Linked DNA regions of Mus musculus: region 2 is reported to be linked to region 1. The links are microRNA targets in miRTarBase. Many come from high-throughput screens and were not tested one by one. Region 1 holds a microRNA gene; the other region holds the end of a gene's coding sequence.

Evidence for each region. The annotated mature microRNA mmu-miR-1896 reads CUCUCUGAUGGUGGGUGAGGAG and lies in region 1 at 2,220-2,241, shown strand. An mRNA with a match to its seed (bases 2 to 7 or 8) in the 3' UTR can be bound and repressed. Matches are read on the target gene's strand: a 7mer-m8 pairs with bases 2 to 8, a 7mer-A1 pairs with bases 2 to 7 and ends in A, and an 8mer does both.
Region 2: miRTarBase lists Gprc5c as a target of mmu-miR-1896. Seed matches in the 3' UTR shown: 7mer-A1 at 5,508-5,514, 7mer-m8 at 5,022-5,028 and 7mer-A1 at 4,261-4,267.

Annotation. Positions count from the first base shown.
Region 1 is chr13:21,442,990-21,450,107 of GRCm38, forward strand. It overlaps Mir1896 (microRNA 1896), which reads left to right and starts at 2,171; the gene lies at 2,171-2,251. Zscan26 (zinc finger and SCAN domain containing 26) reads right to left here. Exons shown (of 6, transcript NM_001347491.1): 2 at 6,452-6,527; 3 at 6,285-6,344; 4 at 5,178-5,495; 5 at 4,797-4,905; 6 at 1-2,840. The coding sequence starts at 6,466. The coding sequence ends at 1,942. It overlaps 4930470G03Rik (RIKEN cDNA 4930470G03 gene), which reads left to right. Exons shown (of 4, transcript NR_151504.1): 3 at 1,082-1,204; 4 at 1,933-3,841.
Region 2 is chr11:114,869,482-114,876,579 of GRCm38, reverse strand. Gprc5c (G protein-coupled receptor, family C, group 5, member C) reads right to left here. Exons shown (of 5, transcript NM_001110337.1): 5 at 3,963-6,259. The coding sequence ends at 6,227. Among named protein-coding and RNA genes, the nearest start is that of Cd300a, 17 kb to the left of the region's middle.

The sequences.
Region 1 (7,118 bases):
CACTCGGGAGGCAGAGGCAGGCGGATTTCTGAGTTCGAGGCCAGCCTGGTCTACAAAGTGAGTTCCAGGACAGCCAGGACTACACAGAGAAATCTTGTCTCGAAAAACCAAAAAAAAAAAAAAAAAAAAAAAAAAAAAGGGCATGAAACAGAAGATTAATGTCAGAATTGCACCTAGGTGCCTAGCAGTCCTTGGCCTGTCCCCTCCTTAGACATGACTGGCAGCAAGCTGACTAGGTTTACCATGGATCTGTTTTGGACTGACTATCCTTTTCTATCGGACAAGAAAAATAAGCATTTCTATGTTGCTAAGTTCTTGGCTTATTTGTAAGTCAAGTGTAGTGAAACCAAGTTGTAGTCAGTACAAGGGTCCCCTTCTCTTCCCAAAGCGGCATAACTTAAGAAGCCCTTTCCCTGAGAAGTACACCCTGTGCAATTACCAACCATAAGCCATGTTTAGCAGTCGGGTGCTGGGCTTGGGAAGACTCCAAGCTTATTACTTTTCATCACTAGCAAGACAGTCAATATGACCTGATGGCCATGATCTCTCCGAGCTGATTTGATTTGCATGGTCAAAATAATATCAAAACAAGTAGCATTTAAATTTGCATCATTGGTATCAAAGGGGGAAAACCCCATTTCCCCCCATGGGACATTCATGAAAAAAGGTGTCCTTCAAGCAGTCACTGTACTGGCACTGTTGCTGCCCAGTAAGGAGGTCGCTGCTTAGAATACTTCAACACAGTTCACTCAAATGACTCAAAGTCTCTTGCATAGTTTAGGTAAAACTTTGATTTATAATTTGAAACACTGTGATACTGTGGTTAAAATGGGCAGGAAATGTAAAATGACATGAGCTAATCCTAAGGGTAGGTTCTATAGTTAAACAGCAAAAGCTTTCAGAAATGCATTCATTGATGGTACAAAGGTAAAGTGGATATGAAGCCAGTGTTTGTGTGAACCTAACAGGGAAAATGTTCAGTTAACCTACGTTAGACCCTTGAGGATGTGTATTTCTAAGCATTATTAGATTTATTTTGGGCTTAAAAATATTTTACCAGTTGTGTGTGTGTGTCCACCAGTTTCTGTGGACCACTGTGTACAGAAGCCTGAGAAGGCTAGCAGATCCCCAGAACTGGAACTGTGAGACGCTGTGCTATGGAGGTGCTAGGAACTGAAAATGGATGGGTCCTCTGCAAGAGCAGGTATGTTAACTGCTAACTCTAGCTCCTTAGGATTTGTCTTTTCACATGTATGATGTTTGCAGGTATGGCTCTACATACGTATGGACACATGTGCACTTAGATTATCATCAGGAGTCTTCCTCAAGAACTCCACCGACTGCTCTCCAAACTCCCTCCCCTGAGTCCAAAGTTTGCTGATACAGCTAGTCTGGCTAGCCAGCTTGCTAGAAAGATCCCATTTTTGCCACCTGAGGGGTGGGACCACAGGCCACAGGCTGGCCACATACTCATTTGACTTTACATGGGTGCTGGGGATCCAAAACAGTCCTTCCACTTGCATAGCAACTTGGTTAAACCACTGAGCATATCCCCAACCCTCATTAATTTTATGTTTTAGGAGCCTGTTGCTACAGTACTTACAAAAATATCAGCTTGATCTTGTCCTGTATAAATCTATAGGCACTTGACTTACTGATTTCAAACACTTCATTCACACATAAAGCTAATACTTAAGAGATACATAATCAAGTACTTATCACACTGAAAGCTCTGAGAAGCTCTGTAGTGAATATTTGTTTAACTCTGATTCTGCTATTCTGGTAAATTATTATAGTCTAATTATGACTTTAAGTAAAGCCAAGAGAGGGACACAACGGAGGCAAATGGCTTCCAAGAATCCTGAAGCCGTCGTGAGTTCTTTCAAAAGGCGCTGTTTGCTTATCAATGTAACATTTCCATGTTTCAAACAGAGAACCTCATCAAGCCAGTTTGCTTTTATGGTGATGTCTCTGATGCTGAAAGAGACCAGACTTCTGCCTGAAGGCTTCATTGCATTCACTGCACTTGTAGGGTTTTTCTTCATTGTGGATTCTAACATGCTGATCTAAGTGTGAATTTAGGCGGAAAGCTTTCTGACACACATTACATTTGAAAGGTTTTTCTCCAGTGTGAATCCTATGATGTCGAATAAGGTCGGAGGTCAAGCTGAAGGCTTTCCCACACTCATTACAGTGATGTCTTTTGGAACGACCATGGACTCTCTGATGGTGGGTGAGGAGGAGGGCCCGACTAAAGGTTTTCCCACACTCCTTGCATTCTCGGGGCTCATCCTGACTGTGAATTTTTTGGTGTCGATTAAGATGAGAGCTTCGCCTGAAGTTCTTTCCACAATGGATACACAGATAGGGTTTTTCTCCAGTATGGATCCTGAGATGCTCCAAAAGACCTGCATTCTGGCTAAAGACTTTTCCACACTCTTTGCACTGGTAAGGCTTCTCCCCAAGATGGATTTTCTGATGTCTGATGAGGTGTGAACTTCTCTGAAAGACTTTCCCACACTCTTGGCAGGGATGACCTTTGTCTTTAGAGATTTCCTGATGGTCAGCAGCAACAGAACTCTGAGATCCTACAGATTCCCAGGACATTTCTCCTGTATGTGCCCTGTCATGTTCAATCAGGCCTGAGTTCTGAACAAGTCTCTCCTTAGTTTCCAAGCATTGGCTGTTAGTTTTTTCCTTGGGCATGGCTGGATTCTTTTTCAAGCTCAGGTCCTCACACTGGGCCTCAATGGGTTCAGTCATGGTACAAGATGATTCCATTCTTCCACAAGAGTCTGTCCCTGCAATGAGATTCCCATTCTCACTCCTTGTCTCTTTACCTGAAATAGTAAATATATATATCACTAATTATTTTATTTTTGGTGTTCAGGGAAAGGAATCTGCAAATAGCAGGAAATACTTAAATAAAGCCATGTGTATAAATGTAAAAACATGTTATGTGTGTTTTATTTGCATGTATGCATGTACACAACATGCATGCAGTGCCAAGGAAACCGTAAGAGGCTGTCCAGTTCCCGGAAACTGGAGTTACAGAATGTTGTGAGCTGCAATGTAGTTGACAGGAACTGAAACCAGATCCTCTGTAAAAGTTTTCTTAAGAGATGAGATCGCTTCAATCCTCACAAAGTAAAAAAACAACAACAAAATTTTGCTCATGATTATTTTATATATATATAAAGAGTGATTTACAAGAAACTGTGGTTTTGTTTGTTTTTTTTGAGGTAAGTTTTCACTATGCAGAATAACATGGCCTAACCTAATCCTCTCCTCTCAGGTCCCACAGTTACAGCACCACCACGTCCAGCCTGACATCTGGGAAAGTGTTAACCAGATTGGCTTTGGGGAAGGGCAGGGGTTGTGGTGGGAGGTGATTTATTTTAAATGTTCTATATTTTATTATGTGACATATGTTACACACACAGAAGCTACTAAGCATGACTGCATATTCTTGATCATGATTTGTCACCTGGGAAACAAAAAAGCACCATAAATCAGGTCACCCGAGGACCATCAAGTTAAGCAGGGAAGGTACTTTGACAAATGAAGATGAGTTGACATGGTGCCAATTTTATCACTGAGTAGTATGTAATCTTGGAAAAAGTGTTTACGTTCTTAACAATAAATCAACAGTACCGGGAGCATAAGACCTTGAGAATAATGCATTCACAAAAACATCATGTTGAAATATGATTTGTTCCCCTCAGAGGGGATCTATAGCAGATTCAGGGCACAAAACAAAACTTGGCTCTTTAACTATGGAAAGAGAGAAAGAAGCCAGAAACTGGAAGCTAACTTCCCGTGAGCGAGCAGGCGAGGACACTGACCCAGACAGTGAGTGAATGGGGAGCCTGGAGCAGGGGATAGAATGAATGAGGCAGGAGGGAGCCAGAAGAGAGAAACAGGAAGGGGAAATGGAAACAAACAGGCCAACAGAGTGCGGGTGAGTGGGAGGCGCAGCACAATTCGCTATTGCCTGAGGAGAGCGAAAGCTCTATCTCTCGGTTCCTCTTCCCAATGTGGCCACAGTACTTCATGTGAAAAAACAGAATAGCATTTCCCAGTTCACTAAGGGATCTAAGCAAGGAGAGACATCTATACATTCGTATTTAAGTGACAGAGAAGACTACAACATAACTTAGTGAAAGCATCAAAGACATTAGAGAGTTCAAGGCCAGCTGATCTACATAGTTGTAGTTGAGATCAATCAGAGCTGCACAGGAAGACCCTGTGTCAAAAAAAAAAAAAAAAAAAAAAAAAGAAGGGGGTGGGGAGGGGAGGGAGGGGAGAGAGAGAGAGAGAGAGAGAGAGAGAGAGAGAGAGAGACTGAGACTAAAAGTAAGAAATAGAACAGTAACAAAGCAGAGCCAAAGAAACTGATTAACACCCCACCCTCAGCACTGCCATTCACAGTGATTTGAAGGAGCTAGGAAAGGGAATAAGGAAACTCTGTCTGAGACTTTTTTGCCTCAGGGAAGAGCAACAGGTAGGCTCAGCTCCACTTCTTGGTGTGTTGTTCATTCAAATTGTTTGGAGTTGTAGATCTTTTAAATCTTGACTGTGTTACTAAGTTTATTGTATATACAAAAACAAACAAAACAACAACAACAACAAAACAAAAACCTGCACTGACTAGAGAGGCTACAGTTTAGATTATGTATACAAATTAAGCCACAACAGGCCTAATAAAAACAAATACCAAAATGCCGAGTGCCAAGGCAGAGGCACTGCATGGCCTACCATAATTCAAATGCAAAAAGATGCCATTTGGTTCTTACCTCTCTCCTCAGGCTTCTGAGGAAGCGCACACCCAGGCTGCTCCCGTGCTTCCCTGCGAGGGGCTGGCTCGCCAACCAGCACCGTTGGTCTGCTTCTTTGGGCTGAGTCCTAGAGATAAGTACAGATAATTAGGAAACCGGTTTACAAAAAAAACCACTTCAATGTCAGAAAAGAGAACAAAGAAACCTTTCAAGAGGCTAAGAAGAGGCAGAACGGAGAGCCTCCTTACACTTCAGCCTCACCGGGGATGGCAAGGGTGAGGCGAGGCCCACACTGACCAGCAGTGAGCAGTGCCCCGCCCGCTGCTGTGCTCATGTCCGCCTATGTGACCTGGGGGCTCACTTCTTACTTTCCTGCAAATGGGCACCTGCACCCCTTACCTTCTGCTCTCCTGCTTTTCCACGGTCCAGCTGCAAATCTTCCAGTATTCCCACCAGTTCCTCCCCAGTCTCTGGGTGGTGCTCGAGCACCTGGACCTGCAGATCTCTTGGCAGGATGGTCAGGAACTGCTCCAGTACCAGCAGCTCCAGGATCTGCTCCTTGCTGTGGGTCTCAGGCCGCAGCCACTGTCTGCAGAGCTCCCTGAGCCGGCGTAAAACCTCTCGAGGTCCAGTGCTTTCCTCATAGCGCAGCTGCCTGAACTGTTTGCACAATGGCTCCTGCCCAACGCCTTTTCTGTCCCCTTGAACTTTGAATCCCTGTTCCCAAGCACAGTAGTTTTAACAGTGGCTTAAAGCACAGACTTGGATCTACAACTATGTCTCCTTAGCTACCTTAAACTTTAAAGTCAGATTTCTACTCAACTCTGCACATATATCCTAATCATTCAAGAACTGTCTCTCTGACAACTGGCGAACAAAGCTTGATAGTCCCTAATTTCCCTAGCCTTGCTAGTAGCCCCACTCCTCTTTTCTTTTGAGACAGGCTCTTACTATGTGGCTGTAACTGGCCTGGAACTTGGTACCAAATATACCAAGCTGGCCTCACAGAGATCTACCTGTTACTGAGTGCTGGGATTAAAGTCCTATACCACTACACACAGCTTCTAGTTCCCTTTTAAGGCTAATGTCACCAAGATAAGAATAAGTTATTTTCATGACCCCAAGAACTCTGCAGACAGATCACCCATAATGGGATCCACTGGCCAGCACTGGCTGCCTCAGCAGTAATGACTTTGCTGGAGGGATCAGGACTTTACAGAACCAGCACGAAATACTGACTGACCAGTCTGTCCAAGACAGACTGACAAGGACTGCTATTTGCTCCCCTTCACCTCGGCTCTTGTCCTTTCCCCCATTTAATTCTGAGTCAGGGCACTGTTTTCCTGTTTCTTCCCAACATGGACTTGCTAAATAACTGATTCTTATCTTGCTTCACTACCAATCGTCTCTCTCATTGGACTGAGCGACAAGTCGCTAAATTTAGTCTGTTAGGACCCCCCCAGGCCAGACCTCTGACACCATGAACAACAGTGGTTCTCTCATTACCTGAAGCTCCTCCTTCAGATTCAGGGGAGCCAAAGAGTATGCACGCTTGCTAGGGTGGATCTGGGAAGAGGTATGTGTGGGAACAGAATATGATCAGAACATGTTGTTGAAAACTCTCAAAGAAGTTAAAAAGAAAAAAAAAGGAAAGATGATGAACACGCACTCACCAAGGCCAGTGCCATCCCTTGCTTCAGGCACTCTGTTTTGGAGACTTTTCTCTTGACTGTATCCTGAGAGACACTCCTAAAAACACAAGTCACAGAAACAGCCGTGCTAGTAATAACAACAGCAACAAGTCATCTTTCCTGAGGGTTGTTTCCTTCTAGTCATTTGTGTTCTCCAAAGTAGCTACTCTTAAGAATATATAAGCAAAATGAGAAAACTTTCATAGGTTGCCACCTAAACTAGAAATTGGAATAGATTTGAAAAACTGCCATTTAAAACTCTCAAATGATTCAGGTGAGAGGCACACACGAATGCTAAAAGCACGGGGTGAGAAGAGGGGAGAACAGAGCATTCTCAGTGCTAACCAGCTGCTGTGTAGCAATAAAAAGAAGATAAAGGTACCTGGCAGCTGCAAATGTACCCAAAAGACCAAGTGTAGCAGCATCAACAACAAGGCCCCATTACCTATGGAACACTTTTAATAAATATTATTTATCATGAATTTCCTGAGGAAACTTTCTGAGAAATCCAGAACTCAGACAATCTATGACAGGCATGAATCCAATTTCCCCAAAGCAAAAAAGCAGATGTATGCTAGGAGGTTATTGTTCTAGATTAAGGAGACACAGCTAAGTGAACCACTTGAAATCCAATGCTTGCATTAAAAAC
Region 2 (7,098 bases), not on the chromosome of region 1:
AGGTTTTTTTTTTTAAGGTGTGTGTGTGAGTGTGTGTGTGTGTGTGTGTGTGTGTGTGTGTGTGTGTGTGTGTGTGCATGCGTGTGTATACCAGAACCTTCAAAGACTAGGTGATCCGGCATCAGATCACATGGAGCCGGAGTTACAGGTGGTCTCGAGACCTGCTGTGGGACCTGAGAACCAGACACCTCCAAGAGCAATCTTAACTGTTGAGTCAGCCTTCCTCAGCCCGCCTCCTCTTCTCTGAGACAGTGGCCCATCCCACCGTGTCCTCTGCAGGAGCTGCAAGTGAGCTATTCATTTCCCCAGCCCCAAGCACCCAAGCTGCCCTTCCCCCTGACCTGAGCTCAGTTCCCCGCACCCACAGTAGGTGGTTTACAACCACCTGTAACTCCAGTTCCAGGGAGTCCAAAATAATAAAACCTCTTTTTAAAACTGGTGATTTAGAGCTGGGGTGGGGGGTTGTGCCCTTGCCTCACAGGTTCAAGACCTTGCCTTCTACACCCCCTCCAAGCCCACCCCACCCCCGGCACTGCAGTAAATTAGGAAATCAAATTCATGGTTTATTTTCCACAGTGAAAATAGAGAAAGAAAGGGGTGGAAAGAAAGACCGGGTAGAAAAAACAGCAAGGCAGTAAAAGTCTCTGCCTCCTCTGCCTGGCAACACACACACACACACACACACACACACACACGAACCTGAACTTTATTTCCCCAACTTTCTTATCAGAGTCCCTCTATGCAAATAAGGGCATCTGGATATGGGGGGTGTTGGTATAAGCGGGCTACTAAAACCATCTGCTTTGAGTCTGTGATTGGTTTCTCCTGAAAAGTTCTTTGCATGTGGGGTAGAGTTCCGGACCTATAGCATCCTGCCCCCGTGTCCCCATCCCTGCTCGCCGAGCATTCCCTCTAGGCATCTGGTGCAGGGGCTGGTTAGGGAATCTGCCCGGGCTACGGGGGTGTGTGTGTGTGTGTGTGTGTGTGTGTGTGTGTGTGTGTGTGTTGGGTCCATTTATCCCTCTGAGAGTCACAAGACAGAGGGCTGTGCTCAGTCAAGTGTAGCCTGCCCCCTGCTGTGACCTGCAGCTGGGCACCTGCTACCCAGACTCTCCCTTGACCTTGGGCCCTGACTGTGGGTCTCTGGTGGCCCAGATCCCCTGCTGTTTGTGTACAGCAAACAGACTGGTCTGGCTGGCATTCTCGTCCCAAGACAGCTCAGCTCACCAGGCAGTAAGTAGTGAGCTGGCCGTCACTTGTTGCCTGTGCTCCTCCCCAGAGAAGCAGCCCAGAAAGCAAACAAAATCTGGGACTATGTGGATTCCCAGGGTCCGGGTAAGGTTGGCTGAGGCCCCTGTAATTCCCTAGGGAACCAACCCATGGGTTGGATAATGAATTCTAACCAACATTTGTCACATCCCCAGGCATTTTTGATTGTCACAACCTGGGACCTGGAGATCCTGGTATCTAGCCGATAGAGGGTCCCACTTAGCATCTACCACACACTGTTCCCAACAAAAGAATATCTTCTTTCCCTAATGTCAGTAGTGACTGTCCCCTGAAGCCCGACCAAGACAGTGGAGGGGCTCCCTCCCCAGGCTGGCTGGTCCAGGCATCTGCCCTCTTTGCAGATAGGGTCTTGCTTCTTGAGCTAGACTGGGTCAGACATGATCCTGGTCTGGTGGAGTGGATAGGGTGAGACTTCTGCACCAGATCCCTATAGGTGAGGCTAGCAGAGCAGGGTTGGGGCACCGTGGGCTGCCCCCAATAACCCCAACACTCCTACCCATCCCCCTACCCATCCTCACCCAGACCTGGGTAGGCTCAGAGACAGCTAGGGGCAGTTGGTGATGGCTGGCTGGCACTCAGGGGGATCCAACTGCAGGGTGTCCGGGTGGGGCTTAGGTGAGAATAGAAATCAGGCCCTACAAGGAGAGTGACAGCCGAGCTCCAGATATTCAGGGCCCCCTCCCCTCAACCCAAAACATACACTCCAGGAGCCTAGGAGAGAGTGGGGTGTTTGTGGTGGGAAAGGGAGGCACAAGATCTCCTGCGCCCAGAACCCTGGAGTCCTGGCAGGGTTGGGACCTCTGGATTGGGACTCTGTGAAACCTTCCCAGGTCCCCACCCCTTGCACCCTCAAAGTGCCCTGGGAGGGTGATGTGAACTTCTGTCTCTTTATGGACACTTCAGGGAGCGTCTCCTCCTCCCCCTGGCTTGGGGGAACCTGCAGGCAGACAGCTGGCTAGGATGAGCCTCCTAACCCCCTCAGCTCCTCTGTGGAAGGCAAAACCCTGAAGCGACCTTTCATCTGGCTAGTTCTACTGCAGACCTCGGGCAGAGACTGCTGTATCTTCCCAACTCCAACCCAGATGGAGCAGGACAGTCAGGCCACACCATGAGGATGCTCTGTGGCCCAGAGTTACTACCATTCTGAAATGGTCATTTGAAGCCTCCACAACTTCTTCAGAGCTCCAGTCTCTCCTTGTAAAGAGGAGGAACAACAGTCACTCCTCTTGATACACCTATGGGTACTTGGGGGACAGTTGTCTGGTCCCAGCCCTCCAGCCTGGCTATTTGGATTTCCTGTGCAAGTAGGCCACCCACCAATATGTTTCCCCCTACACATCAGAGAACTGCCAAGATATGCCAACATATACCTCCAAGCCCCAACCCAGCTATTGCACCCACCTTGGGAATCCAGTGCCTGGGACAAACAGAGTTAAGTCCAAGGTCAGACAGCAAATGATCCAGTCTAGAGGCCCAATAGTCTAGGGAGGACACACTTGAGTGCTATGCTTGAATGTGACTTTTGTGTGAGTGCTCTTCAGTATATCCAAAGGTTGTCACTCCTATTTTACAGATGAGCAGAGACTAGGGAAAGGTGAAAAGGACTGTGGAAGGCCACAGCTAGTAATCAACCTTTGATCTCTACACATGCTATAGAACTCTCCTCTCACTTCCTGTCACTTCCTGCTACAAGGCTAATTGAGTCTCTTTGAGAGTGCTGGTCTCAAAGAGTCACCCCCACCCCATTATTAACACCCCAATGGGACCCACCACCCCCACTCGTGGCTATTAACAGATACCTTTCCTCAACTAGGATGAGGTCAGAGCCCCAGAGGGCCCAAGGAGGATGAGGTCAGAGCTCTCTGGCTGGTGCAGATGCTAAATAATTCATGCTGCTGCTGTAAACGGGGCTGTAGCTTCCTGGAGGACCCAGCCCTGAGACAGCAGGCAGGAAGTCTGCTTAGCAGCCCCCTGAGCACAACCTTGGCGTGCCCTCTGCAGAGCAGGAGGGGGTGCTGGTCTTGGTGAGAATGTTGGTTGGTGCCTGTGCGGTGACAGCTGGGTAAGCCAGCCAACCTTTCTGTGTCTTGCTTTCTTCTGCAAGAAGCCGAAGTGCTGCTGCTGAACAAGTACAATGGGCCACAAGAGCAAGCTGGGTGTGGCCATGACAGGGCCCCCAGGCTTGGGGCAGCTGTTTGTGATCATCTCTGGCCCAGCATGCCTGTGAACAAAGCATTTTAACAAAGAAGAAACGGTCTGTGCCCTGCCTCCCAACCATGCCAGGCATAGCTGGGTAGTTATCTGAGGGTGTCCCCTTTCCCACCGTACCCCTCCTACATCTCACGTGGGAACCGTTTTGTCTCTCCGCCTGGCTGGTTAAGAATTCAATGTTTGTTTGTTTGTTTCTTCTATGTAGTCCTGGCTGTCCTGGAACTCACAAAAGATCTGCCTGCCTCTGTCTTCCAAAGTGCTTAAAGGCTTGCAACACTGTATCCAGCTGAGAATTCAAATATCTTTCAGCGGCCTGGTTTTCTCCTTTAAAGTCTCTAACCGGAGAGAAGTTAGTTAGTTGTAATCCAACAGCTACTGTAGCTGAGATGGGGGAATGGGGAGAGAGAGGCAGGCAAGGCAGCTGACACTGACATTCCACAATCACTTAGAAACACACAGGAACAGAGGCAGTAACCCCTCACAAAGAAAGGGCAGTCGTTTAATTCTGAGCAGTTACAAGGTTGAGCCTCCCTTTACATCCACTATAGGATTTAATAGGGTCCGTGTGACATTTATTAAGGGATAGTGGCCTGCAAATGATGAGCTTGGATCAAGCCTGGACCTACTTGATGTCTCCCACTCAAGGCTTGTGTATGATACAGAGCTGTTCATTTGGAGGCCCCCAACCCTCCTAAAAAAAAAAAAAAAAAAAAAGTACTTTTTTTTGTTGTTGTTTGTTTTGTTTTTTTGAGACAGGGTTTCTCTGTATAGCCCTGGCTGTCATGGAAATCACTTTGTAGACCAGGCTGGCCTCGAACTCAGAAATCTGCCTGCTTCTGCCTCCCAAGTGAAAAATGTACTTCTCCACTGGAACTGGAACTAAAAGTCGCAGGGTTGCCATGAAGGGTAACCATGACACTCCCAAATAGCCTACATCCTCCAGGAGCCTCCAATCACTCCTCAGCTTCAGGTGCAGGCAGGCCTTGGGCTATAAACACAGCCACACCCACCACAGGCTACACACCTAGGGATGTGGGGCTTTCTGCATCCTAAAGGACTCATTTAAGACAGCAAACTAGTCCCTCGCTTACTGCGGCAGATCTTGGGGCTCTAGATCAAGAACAGTGTGAGGTGCATGGAGACCGGTTCCCTTGTGGAAGGACCAAGCATCCTCAGTCAGCAGAGGGCAAGAGGAGTATCATTTGGAGGTATGGTCCTACTCTGTGGGAACCTTTCATCCAATGATAAAAGGCACAGGTTGCTGGGGATGGCATGAGAACTAGGCATGGAGTGCCTGGCTATCCTGGGAATCCACTCATCTTTACCTCTACCTTGGCACTAAGCAGGACTGGGCTGAGGGCCAAGTTAGCACACTTGGGGGAAAGGGTATAGAAGAGGCTCTGTCTGGTACCCAAAAGTAGAACAAAGAATGATGTTCTGGAGATCTCGAGTCCAGGGTCTGGTACCATGACACCATCTCAGCCACTGGTGTCAGCAGCTTGCAGGCCTGAAAATGGCCCTCTCTGACCTGGGTGGCCATCGGGTGCCTCCGGTGCATGTCCTAAGGCCAAGGACTCTCCTCTAATGTTGAAAGCAGCAGATCATGTCCATGTGTCCCAAGGACGGCTGCTGCCCAAACTGAGGTAGAAACTTAAGACGTCTTTCCATAAGCGATCTACAGTCCTGGACCGCACATCCCACCAGTCGGACACAGGAAAGGTTCAACTCACCCTGAGAATGCAGCCCTGAATTCCACCCACATGTCCTAAGGGAACTCCCAGACCCCACGTATGTCCTGGTAGCCCAAGCAGGTGCTTCCAGAACCTGTGAGATCCAGGTAATTCAGCAATATCCACATCTGCACCTGTCCCAGGAGCTACCCCAGGAAGCTAGCACAGAAGGCAAAAGGAGACTGGGGGAGATTCAAACAGGGGATTAACTGAGATACAAACGGTGCAAAACCCTAGCACCACTGTGGCCCACGGGCTCTTCAACTCTGATGTGGGTTCTCTGTGTGGCAGGGCTGGACAAGAAGAGCTTCCTCAGATGGGACCAGTGTAACTGCCATCTTCAATGGTGATGGGCAGTGGGGAGGACAGAACAGGCCGACTGGTCCTGCCCTGGTGAGGGGACACGACCCACTGAAGGTATAGTAGACTCCATCCAGATTCAAAGGTGCTGGGACCTGAGACCCTCAGGTCATGAGAAACAGCCTGCCCAAACTAGCCAGTGACCTCCTAGAAGGTGCAGCAGGCCCTAAGTAGGGTAAGGGACAACTTCTGTTGTGTGGCTTGTCTCCAAAGACTCACAAAGATTCACCTGATGTCCATTGTGAGACATGCTGACGGGACACCAACATGGCCAAGAAGGTCCGTCACACACTGGACATTCACAGCGAGACAGCAACCTGGAGAACCACATGGGAACACAGACACTGTGACCTGAGGGATGTGTTAAGGCAGGAGATGGGAGTCAACAGTTCACTCCCTGTAGCTGCAGTTTCTTGGATACCAGGAGGTTGGGATGGGCAAGGGACAGGTGGCCCTATGAGCACCAGTCACATATTTCAGGCCTATCCCAAGGTCCCGACTCAGTCCACTGTTTCAAATTGGTGGCCTCTGGTCCCTCCCAGTTCCAAGGACAGGTGGGAAAGCTGCTGGCCCTGCTCAGATGGATGCAGAGCATTGAGGGATCCAGATGAGGTGTGGTCCAGGGAAGAGGGCATCTACCATCTTGTTTTATTAGTCGGGGACTGATCCTAAAGTAACCAGAAAGAACAAATGTCAAAATGGAGGATTCTACTGCTCACAGCCCAAGTACTGAATTGGACTAAGAGAAAAATTTAAAGTCTCAGTCAGTCCTCAGGGAGCAATGCCATCTAAATATAGACGTTTGGAGAAGTCTGGAGTCTTCTTCCAATAATCCTTTTCTCTCAACAACAACAAAACAACCCTATTTTTTCCCCTTACAACTGGTGTCAGAAAATAGCTTCTGGCTAGTCCATGACAAACATGGATGGGCAGGCTCTCAAGTCCCCTTGAAGAATCCGGACTTGGCATCCAAAGTTCAGAATATTGTCCCATCCATGAGGAACAGAAGCAGCTCAGAGCCCAGGCCACTGGTCTGGCTTCTCCCAGGGAGGGCCAAGGACAAAAGCTGGGGATATCAGTCTTGGTCCAGCCACCTAGAGGCTCTATGGCAAGACTGTGTCACTTTGCTTACTGTAAAAGAGGTTGGGGGGCAGCTAGAGAGATGGCTCAGCAGTTAAGAGCACTGACTGTTTTTAAGGTCCCATATAACCCTGAAGTGACAGCATTCTGAGACTTTGGCTCTGGAAATGAAGAAGACTGGTCTTGTCCTATTGGTTGACCTCTCCCACACCCCTGCCCCCCATACCCACCATCCATGGAAATGATCCTAGGCTGTTGGGGGAAGACTTTTCCTGATCCCCAAATTTTAAGCACATGGCTGGCCTGCCTGCCTGCCTGACTGTCTTGTTAACTCCCATTGTAAACAATTCAGACTCACTACAAGCCAACCTACTCAGGCAGTGTAGCATGATCTCAGAGCCTGGAGCACAATGGCAGCCTGCCTCAC